Linked DNA regions of Coturnix japonica. The protein of the gene in region 2 purifies or fractionates together with the protein of the main gene of each other region. This does not show direct contact. Links are inferred from orthologs where the notes say so. Each region holds a gene or a part of one and is shown on either strand. Other genes may lie near its edges.

Evidence for each region. Proteins that work in one complex are often made in the same cells at the same time.
Region 1: the proteins of EBNA1BP2 (region 2) and BRIX1 purify together in Homo sapiens (affinity purification with mass spectrometry; 4 studies listed by BioGRID and IntAct, counting the BioPlex papers as one, with this or other methods). This does not show direct contact. The link is inferred for Coturnix japonica from reciprocal best matches to the Homo sapiens genes EBNA1BP2 and BRIX1.

The regions. Positions count from the first base shown.
Region 1 is NC_029547.1:9,686,200-9,690,640, forward strand, and holds the start of BRIX1 (ribosome biogenesis protein BRX1 homolog), read left to right. Parts: upstream 1-1,436; 5' UTR 1,437-1,482; coding exon 1,483-1,635; intron 1,636-2,300; coding exon 2,301-2,412; intron 2,413-2,828; coding exon 2,829-2,872; intron 2,873-3,102; coding exon 3,103-3,173; intron 3,174-3,556; coding exon 3,557-3,606; intron 3,607-3,716; coding exon 3,717-3,790; intron 3,791-3,884; coding exon 3,885-3,935; intron 3,936-4,181; coding exon 4,182-4,283; intron 4,284-4,441. Other genes in the region: cell cycle checkpoint protein RAD1, read right to left, coding at 32-140, 1,043-1,237. UniProt on the Homo sapiens protein: Required for biogenesis of the 60S ribosomal subunit.
Region 2 is NC_029523.1:17,301,173-17,305,729, reverse strand, and holds the start of EBNA1BP2 (probable rRNA-processing protein EBP2), read left to right. Parts: upstream 1-1,566; coding exon 1,567-1,668; intron 1,669-1,736; coding exon 1,737-1,886; intron 1,887-2,165; coding exon 2,166-2,332; intron 2,333-2,728; coding exon 2,729-2,852; intron 2,853-3,391; coding exon 3,392-3,481; intron 3,482-3,693; coding exon 3,694-3,769; intron 3,770-4,016; coding exon 4,017-4,107; intron 4,108-4,407; coding exon 4,408-4,557. Other genes in the region: CFAP57 (cilia- and flagella-associated protein 57), read right to left, coding at 1-244, 902-1,218, 1,296-1,464. UniProt on the Homo sapiens protein: Required for the processing of the 27S pre-rRNA.

The sequences.
Region 1 (4,441 bases), on a different chromosome or scaffold from region 2:
CAAGGAATATATACATATATATACACTATACCTGGCAAAGAACTGGCTCCAAAAATGGTCAAGCAGTCAAGAAGAACTGCCAAATTGATTCGGAACACGACTGATTCTTCCTGAACATGAAACTCCTGAAAAATTTCCGCCTTTGGGAGAAAAGTAAGAGATGAAAACAGTGAAGCTTTTCCAATTACTTCACAACTTACTCATGTCTTACATTTTCAGTGACTGGGAGATCTCTTCATTTGCTTATAACTACCTAACACATAATCACAGTAATGGAGATGTTTGTTTTCTTAGGTACAAGTGATACGGCACAAGGAAATGATAACAAGTTACACCAGGAGAGGCACAGATTGGGTATGAGGAAGACTCTCCTTCTGAAGAGGGTGATCAACCATTGGACCAGGCTGCTTGGGGCAGTGGTGGAGGTGCTTAAAAAATGTGTGGACGTGGCATTAGGAGACCTGGGTTAATGATAATGAGGAGGTCAGGTTGATGGCTGGACTTAGCATAGAAACATGAAGGTTGGAAAAGACTGCTGAGATCATCTAGTCCAACCATCAGCCATCCCCACAAGACTCCTTAAACCACGTCCTTCAGTGCTACATCTCCTCATTTCTGGACACCTCTGGGGACAATGACTTCAATTCCCTGGGTAGTCTGTTCCAACACCTCTCCACTCTTTCTGAGAATAAGTTTTTCCTTACGTACAACATGAACCTCCCCTGGAACAACTGGATACCATTACCTCTCATCCCATCAAGGTCTTTTCCAACATGAATGATTTTATGATCTGTCTATGGCAGGATTTGACAATGTGACTGTTCCCAACCACTATATGATTAATTAATGGCCACATTCTAATCACTGCATCTTCCTCACATTAGCTTCTGCAAATACTCTATGGCTTTACTAAAGCTTCCCCTTCCCCACAGCTCATCTTCTGTACACCAGTTCTACCACATCACTTATTCGAGTCCCTAACGCTGCTACCAGCCCCTTCTCACCGTTAACCACGGGAAGCAGCTCAGCCTCCAGACCCTACCTGGATAAACGCATTGGCCTGAATGCATTTGGCATCCTCTACAGTCACCCGAAGCCCGTTGTCTGTGGCGAAGCAAGTGGCATGATCCTGGAAGTGGACGGCCCTAAGGAGGCTGGACAGATTGCGGGCGTTATCCAGGCTGGCCGTCAGGACGTACTGCTCGCTGCTGCCGGGGGACTGCGTGGAGAACGGCATGGCCGGCTCCTGGAGCCCAACGGGACCGGACCGGGCCTACCGCGGCCTAACGGGACCGGACCGGGCCTAGCGCGGCCTGACGGGACCGGACCGGGCCTACCGCGGCCTAACGGGACCGGACTGGCCTAGCGCGGCCTACACGGGCCTACAGGGGCCTGAAGCCACGGCTATCAGCTGCGCCGGCGCTTCCGGTGGCGCGGCGAGCGGGCGGAAGTGCGAGGTGCGCACGGCGCGGTGTCTGTAAGATGGCGGTGTCCAAGAGGAAGCGTGAGCTGCCGGCTGCTGCGAGGCCGAAGAAGCGAGTGAAGGCGGCTCCGGCTGCGAACGAGGCCACCGCTAAGGCTGCCCCGGACGGAGCGGCCCCGGAGGAGTACAGCATCCCGGCGCCGGTCTCTCAGGTAGCGGCGGGGCGCGTTGGGGCCCAGCTGGGCGGCGCTGGGAGTCGGGGCGCTGAGGGGAGCTCAGGCACTGCGCGGGTTGTGAGGGCTGTAACAGTCTAATTATGTTACTGCAAACAGAAGCAGCGTCCTGGGAAGCGGTTCCATTCTAATTATGTTACTGCAAACAGAAATAGCGTCCTGGGAAGCGCTGACAAAAAAGCGCTGTTCTGGCCGATCGATTCAGCTGTATTACCACAATCTAGAAACGCCTTCAGTTGAGTTCTATGCAGACGATTTTATGGATGATGAGTGTGCTTGGTGTCGGAGTTGCTCTGAGGAGCCTCAGGAATGGCTGTAGTTGCTGCTGCTTCTCGTTGAAGCACATTGCGGCCCGAGCCCGCAGCACATGTTCATCTGAAGGCAGCCTGTGCCTCTGCCGGGCCCTCTTATTAAAACATCCATTGTGTGCGGAGTTCTTAATGTTGTTATGTGCCTTTTGTATATATGCGTTGCAGTGAGCAGTAATGTCAGAAGTCGAACCTTTGCGGAGTTTCTGTGCGGGTGATGAGATTGCTATGAATGTTCTTGCTCATCTTTTCTGTTGCTGCGGTTCAAATGGGTGTTGTTGTAAGAAACTTTAAGAAAATTAAGGTTTTTGTTTAACGCTTTTGTCTGTTTTTTAGGGTAAATGGAAGAACAAGGAGCGGGTGCTTATTTTCTCCTCTCGTGGGATTAATTTCAGAACAAGGCACCTAATGCAAGACCTGAGAACGCTGATGCCTCATTCTAAAGCAGGTAGGGCTGAGTGTTATCCGTAGTGCATTTGCAGAGTGACCTCAAACCAAGTATTTCTGAGAATCTGGTACTGACTGATTGTGAATAATGGGACATATAAAATGTAGTCTGAATATCTGTTACAGTGCAGAAAAGCGTCATAGGACACATTCTAGAATTCGGAAAATACATGATAACAAACCAGGCTTATTCAGTTTCAATTGGATTGAACAAATGATTGAAGCCAGGAATTGGACTCCATGATCCTTGTGGAACTTTTGCAACTCAGGATATTCTGTGATAGCATGACGTGGCTAAAAAGCCCTTGGTAGCTGATCTTCCATTCACAGCCAGTAAAAACTCGTGCAAACACCGTTATAAAATGTTGTTGTTTAATTATGTGTTCAGGCCTTCTCAACGTTGTTTTTGTCTTCCAGATACTAAAATGGACCGTAAAGACAAGCTGTTTGTAATTAATGAGGTAATTCTGGTTTTAATCTTTATTTTCTGTGAGCAAGAGGCAACCAAGCTCAAAACATCTCTTTTTAGTTGTAGAGTTGTGTAACTTCATAGCTGAAAATTGATACTGAAAAGGTGGTGATGCCAAAAGAAAGCTGTCTTTTGGTTAAGAGACATTAGAAATTAATATGGAAAATTTCTGAAGCTGTCTTCATGACTGCATAAATAACCCTTTTGATATGTCTTGTGTAGGTGTGTGAAATGAAAAACTGTAATAAGTGCATCTTCTTTGAAGCTAAAAAGAAACAAGATCTTTATATGTGGTAAGTAAATACCATGTTTTGTTTGTTAATTGCATTTGTATACATAACTGGCAATGCTTCTGCCTAAAGTTTGTTACCGTAATAGTGAGGCTTCTTCAAATACTGCTTAGTTTAAAGTCGTAAAGAATACTGCTCTTCTGCTGTATGTAGTACAAACTTAAAACATGTAGTGGGTTCCACAGACCAGTTTACTAAAACTTCTTACAGAATTGTTTAGAAAGCAAGTATGCATAAGTATCCTAAAGGATATCCTAAAAGTGCTGCTATAAAAGTGACTGAGATTACTTCCTTACAGAAATGATTTGTTGGAGTGTACTGTAGATATCCAGCACAAGTTCATGGCTGCTCTTAAGGTTTTTTTCTCTCATGTCTCTGTTCTGCAGGCTTTCAAATACTCCACAGGGACCATCAGCTAAATTCTTAGTGCAGAACAGTAAGTTGTTTGATATTACTATGTTTAGATTCTTACTTTCTTGTCTATTTAACTTTGTCTAAGTAATAAAATGTGGTTTTTTTTATATAAAAAAAATAAAAAATTACTAGTTCACACGCTGGCAGAATTGAAGATGACAGGAAACTGCTTAAGAGGCTCACGGCCCCTTCTGTCCTTTGATCCAGTAAGTATAGTTCTTATGAACATGTAATACATTAAATATTTACATTACTTGTGCATTTAAGTTTGTATCTAAAATGTGATTTTTGCCATTGTAGACTTTCGACAAGGAGCCACACTATGCCTTGCTGAAGGAGTTGTTTATTCAGGTCAGTATGTAGCATGGACATCATCTTTTGTAAGTTATTTTAATTTCTCTTTTTGTACCCCCATACAAATCGTACACTTCGGAGTCTGCAGAAAATGCTCAAAAGAATTAGGGTTGTTCTTAAAGTCACTTGGACTCTTGTCCTTAAGCTTATTTTATGTAATCTGGAATCAGAGACTTTGTAACTTAAATTAATGCTTGTCCCTTTACAACTACAGTTACTGAGAAGTGCTGCTTTTTATTTCAGATATTTAGTACACCACAGTATCATCCCAAAAGCCAGCCTTTTGTAGATCATGTTTTCACGTTCACCGTCACAGACAAGAGAATATGGTTTCGAAATTACCAGGTTAGTGGTCTTTTTCAGCTCTTTCAGTGGTGCTCAATGGAGTAACTATATCAAATCCATTAATTACAGTAAAACAAGAAGAATAATTATTTATAGAACGTGCCTTTTCCTGTTTCTCTGGAGTTAATTTGTTTCGGTTCTGTCTAGTTCTGCTTGCT
Region 2 (4,557 bases):
GTGGTTTTCTATACCCTACATCTATCTGCCAGAGCAGCTCTCCAGTTTCAAAGAGGCAAAGTTTGCCCGTGGCAGTGCCACATACGATTTCTCCCTCAGACAGCCAGGCATGGCACAAGTAGTTCGGTGGCTCTCCCTTTTGTAGATTTGTCTGCTTCAAAGTCCTTTCACTGTATTTATAGAGTTTAAAAAAGCCATTTCCAGTCAAACAAATCTGTGTGTTGTCATGAGGACTAAAGCTCACCTATGGAACAAAAAGAGAGAAATGGTTTTACACAGCTATGTTCGCTTTCAGAAAAAAAAGAAATAAGAATAAAAATCTGTTCTATGAGAGTATGATACCTGTTCTATGTAAGTATGATACCTGTTCTATGTATGATACCCGTTCTATGTAAGTATGATTCCTGTTCTATATGAGTATGATTCCTGTTCTATGTAAGTATGATACTTGTTCTATGTAAGTATGATGCCTGTTCTATATAAGTATGATTCCTGTTCTATGTGAGTATGATTCCTGTTCTATGTGAGTATGATACCTGTTCTAGACAGGTATGAGATGCAGAAAACAAACAAGGGAAAGAGAGACTGAGAAATACACTTTGCACTTTTCCCTCTTTCAGGACTGTGTTTATCAATGTGACACGTGATGTTATGGATACGTTAATTCTATTAATCTAAGAAGCCTTCTGCATCACTGTAATATGGAAGAGGGAGCTGTCCCTGCCTTCAGGATCAAGCAAGGCAAAAATACATCTTTGCTGCCATCTACCTGAACAGTGCCAGCCATTCTTAGAAGTCAGGAAGAATTTCTGTATTTCAGGAAAGCCAAACCTTACCATACCGCATTTTAACTAGTGTAAATGGGTGTGTACTGATGGAACCTGCCCCCAGCGGCCGTTACCTGGCAGACGCCGCTGCCCTTGTCCTCGAGGCGCAGCACGGCCAGCAGCTGCTGCTTCTCCCACAGCCACAGGACGAGATGCGCCTCGGGAGGTTCGGTGAGAGCCACCAGGTGCCGGCCGTCCGGGGAGAAGGCCAAGGCCGCCACTTCTCTCACCGGCAGCTCTGCGGCCGTCAATGTTCTCCGCCGCCGCGGCGGCGCCGCCGTCATCTCGTACACCGTCAGGGTGGGCTCCTCCTCCGCCGTCTCGGACACGGCCATGTACCGCCCGCTGCTGCTCACGGCCAGCGCCCGCACACCCTGGCTCTTGTCGCGGCCTGCGGAGGGGAGAGAGGGATCAGTGCGGGACCGGGCGGCGGTGAAGGCGGCGGGGCCGGGCGAGGGGAGCTGCGACCTGGGATGAACTTGTGCCATCTGTGCTCGGTGTGGAACAGCGCACAGGCCGCCCCCGCCGCGTGCAGCACCAGATGCTCCTCCAGGAAGCACAGGCCGCCGGACACCCCGGGCCTGCAGCCGAAAACGGCCACCGGCTCCACCTCCGCCGCCGCCTCCGGCTCCGCCATGACGCCAACGCCGTCCCCGTAGCAACCGCGGCTCCGAGGCTGACGGATGTGACGACAGTGCGCTTGTGTGTGCCCGGAAGCGGCGGTAGAAGGAGCGGCAGCATGGAGCGGTCCGGCATGGAGCGGCACAGCTCGGGGTCTGACTGCTCGGATTCCGAGGACTCCTCGCTGTCGGACTCGGAGGTGAGCCCGTCCCTACACCCGGTAACGGGACCGCCACCCGGAGCCGCCTCAGGGCACCGCGGCCCGGTCTGAGCGCTTTTTGTCCACAGCTCCAAGAGGCCTTCGCCAAGGGAGAGCTGAAACCGGGGCTCAACGTGGTGCTGGAGGGGCAGCCGAAGAAGCACAACGATGTGGTGAGGGGCGGCCGACGGGACGGGACGGGGGGGAGCGGGGATGGAGCTGCATTGAGGCCTGAAAGGGTGGGTTGGGCCGCGGCACGAGGGGAACTGCTCCTCAGATTGAGAGAGACCAGCAGAGGGCCACAAAGATAACGAGGAGCAGCTGGAGCCTATTCTGTGACCTGGATATTCACTTTTGCTGTTCGTGTGTCTCACAGAATCACAGAATCATAGAATTATCAAGGTTGGAAAAGACCTAGAAGATCATCTAGTCCAACCACAGATCATCTAGTCCAACCATAGATCATCTAGTCCAACCATAACCATCTCATTGCTCAGAGCTGTGCTTCCCTTTCCTAGGATGGTTTGAAGCAGTGCCTGTCCGATTTCAAGCAGCAACTGGCTTGGGTGGAAAGGCTGGATGTGACGCTGGATCCAATTGCGGATGCTGTGGAGTCTGTCTCACAAAGCGATGCTAACAAAGATGCTGTTGATCCTGAGAATGATTTCCAGAGGGAGATGAGTTTGTAAGTGGAAAAAGAGATTCTTCATAGGTTCTCTATGCACTGCTGCATGCCTGGTGTCTGGTTTCACATGGATGTTGTAATTTATCACTGGGCTCTTGGCCCATCTTATGCTACATCTGATGATTCCAAACGTTTTACAAAATAACTACAAATAAATGCTAATATATTTAATCTGATCCCTGACAGGGAGTAATTTCTCCCCTTGCAACAAACCTCCATCTGTTGCTTAAAAGTGTCTTTAGGGAGTCTCTGGATTGCAACACTATGGCTTTAACAGAGGATGGCTTTACCTACGTGGATGTGTAGTTCTCTTTGCTGTGTATTTTACAGTATCATGTGTAAAACCTGAGCTGTCTGGTGCCCCATCACTGAGCTGCTGTTCTTTTCTCTCCCCAGTTACAGGCAGGCACAGGCAGCAGTGCTGGAGGCCTTACCAAGGCTGCGTAAGCTCCATGTTCCCACCAGAAGGCCGGATGATTACTTTGCAGAGATGGCCAAATCAGACCAGCAGATGCAGAAGGTACGTGCCATGAATAATAGCTTTCATTCCTGTGCAGTGTGTTGGTTTTAAGTCTGTGTTAAGCATTAACTATGTGGTCCTTAATAATTGCCATCATCTTTTTGACAAAGGCCTATGACAGTGTTTGTATACAAGGGCTGTTGTGCAGTGTAGAGACTTCCACAACAGGCTGGAAGTGTAAATAGAAGAGTGGTTTACATTGTGTCCCATATATAATTAGTACTAAAAATTAAATTTTCTTCATATATGTAACGGTGAAAAAACTTGTAGTGAGTGAAGGCATTAATATGATCCTTTATTTTTTCCCCTAGTTTATATTTGGTGTATTCAGGCTCTCAGTGCTTTTCAGCTGAGGGTGTTGAGTTAAGTTGGACAGGTAGCAGTGATTATGGAGAAATTATCTGATTGAGGCAGATTTTCTTTTTGCCTTCGTTGATATTGTTTATATAATTACTGATTTCAGAACTGCACAGACATCTTAAAGTTCTCATGCTTTCCTTTGCATTACTCATTAATTTTCTTCCTTTTCCTCTAAAAAGATTCGGCAGAAGCTTAAGAGTAAGCAGGAAGCCATGGAGAAGTCTGAGAAAGCGAAACAGCTCCGTGCAATGAGAAAATATGGCAAGAAGGTGAGGAGGAGCTACAAAAGGGACCTGTCTATAACATGAATCAAGAGCCTAAATGAGCTTAGAAAGTGGGATTGCTGGAGGCAGGATAAAATGGAATCTCTCTGACCTTTTGTCAAGCTGCCTTAGAGGGAGACAGTGGTGGGGTACCAGGGCCTAAAGAAGGTATGGGGTGCTAGAGAAAAACAACACTAACATCTTGCCTCTTTTCTCAGGTACAAATAGAGATTCTACAGAGGAGGCAAAAGGAGAAAAAAAATATGTTAAATGCAGTCAAGAAGTATCAGAAAGGTAAAGTTAACTTGTCTAAGAGACTAAATGGGGATTGTGATGTGTCAGGAGTCTAAGGCACTGTGATATGTGATGTCATTTCTGCTGCTGAGCAATAATCTTGAAAGGTTGCTGCTATACACAACCACACACTTGTGGCAGAAAAAATCCTTGGTCTTCAGTGAGGGTGATTTGTTGCTATTATTTAGGCTGAAAAATTGGTTTCTGTGGTGGTAGCTGAGCAGCTGTTTTGTCCTTGCTCTTGCAGGTCTCACTGACAAGCTGGATTTTCTGGATGAAGAACAGACTTCATCTCAGGGGAATAAGAAAGGCGGTGCAAATCGGCGAGTGAAGAAAGGGTGAGATTAGAAAAGAAAGATATTTAAAGGCAGAATCCCTGATTTTTCGAGCTCTGTAGGAGTTTTGTATGACAGGAAACCTGTGTAAATTACTGCTTGTGAAAAATAAGTCCCAAATGACTTTCTGTCCCTAGAGAGGAGAACTGTGGCCTATTAGAATACAGACTGAATTCTTCCCCTTTATCAGAGGGGAAACTTCTATGAGAGCTGATGGGAATCTGTCAGCAGATACTTGTTTCCTTCTTGGGAGCTTCCCAAGGAAAGGTGTGTAAGTGGTGATGCAGCAGTGTTGTTTTTCAGACCAAATGCCAAAAGACGATACAAGGATCAGAAGTTTGGTTTTGGTGGAAAGAAAAAGGGCTCGAAGTGGAACACAAAGGACAGCTTTAATGATGTATCCAGCTTCAAGTCAAAAGTGGCTCACAACAAAGGCCCAAGAAAAGGAGGAAA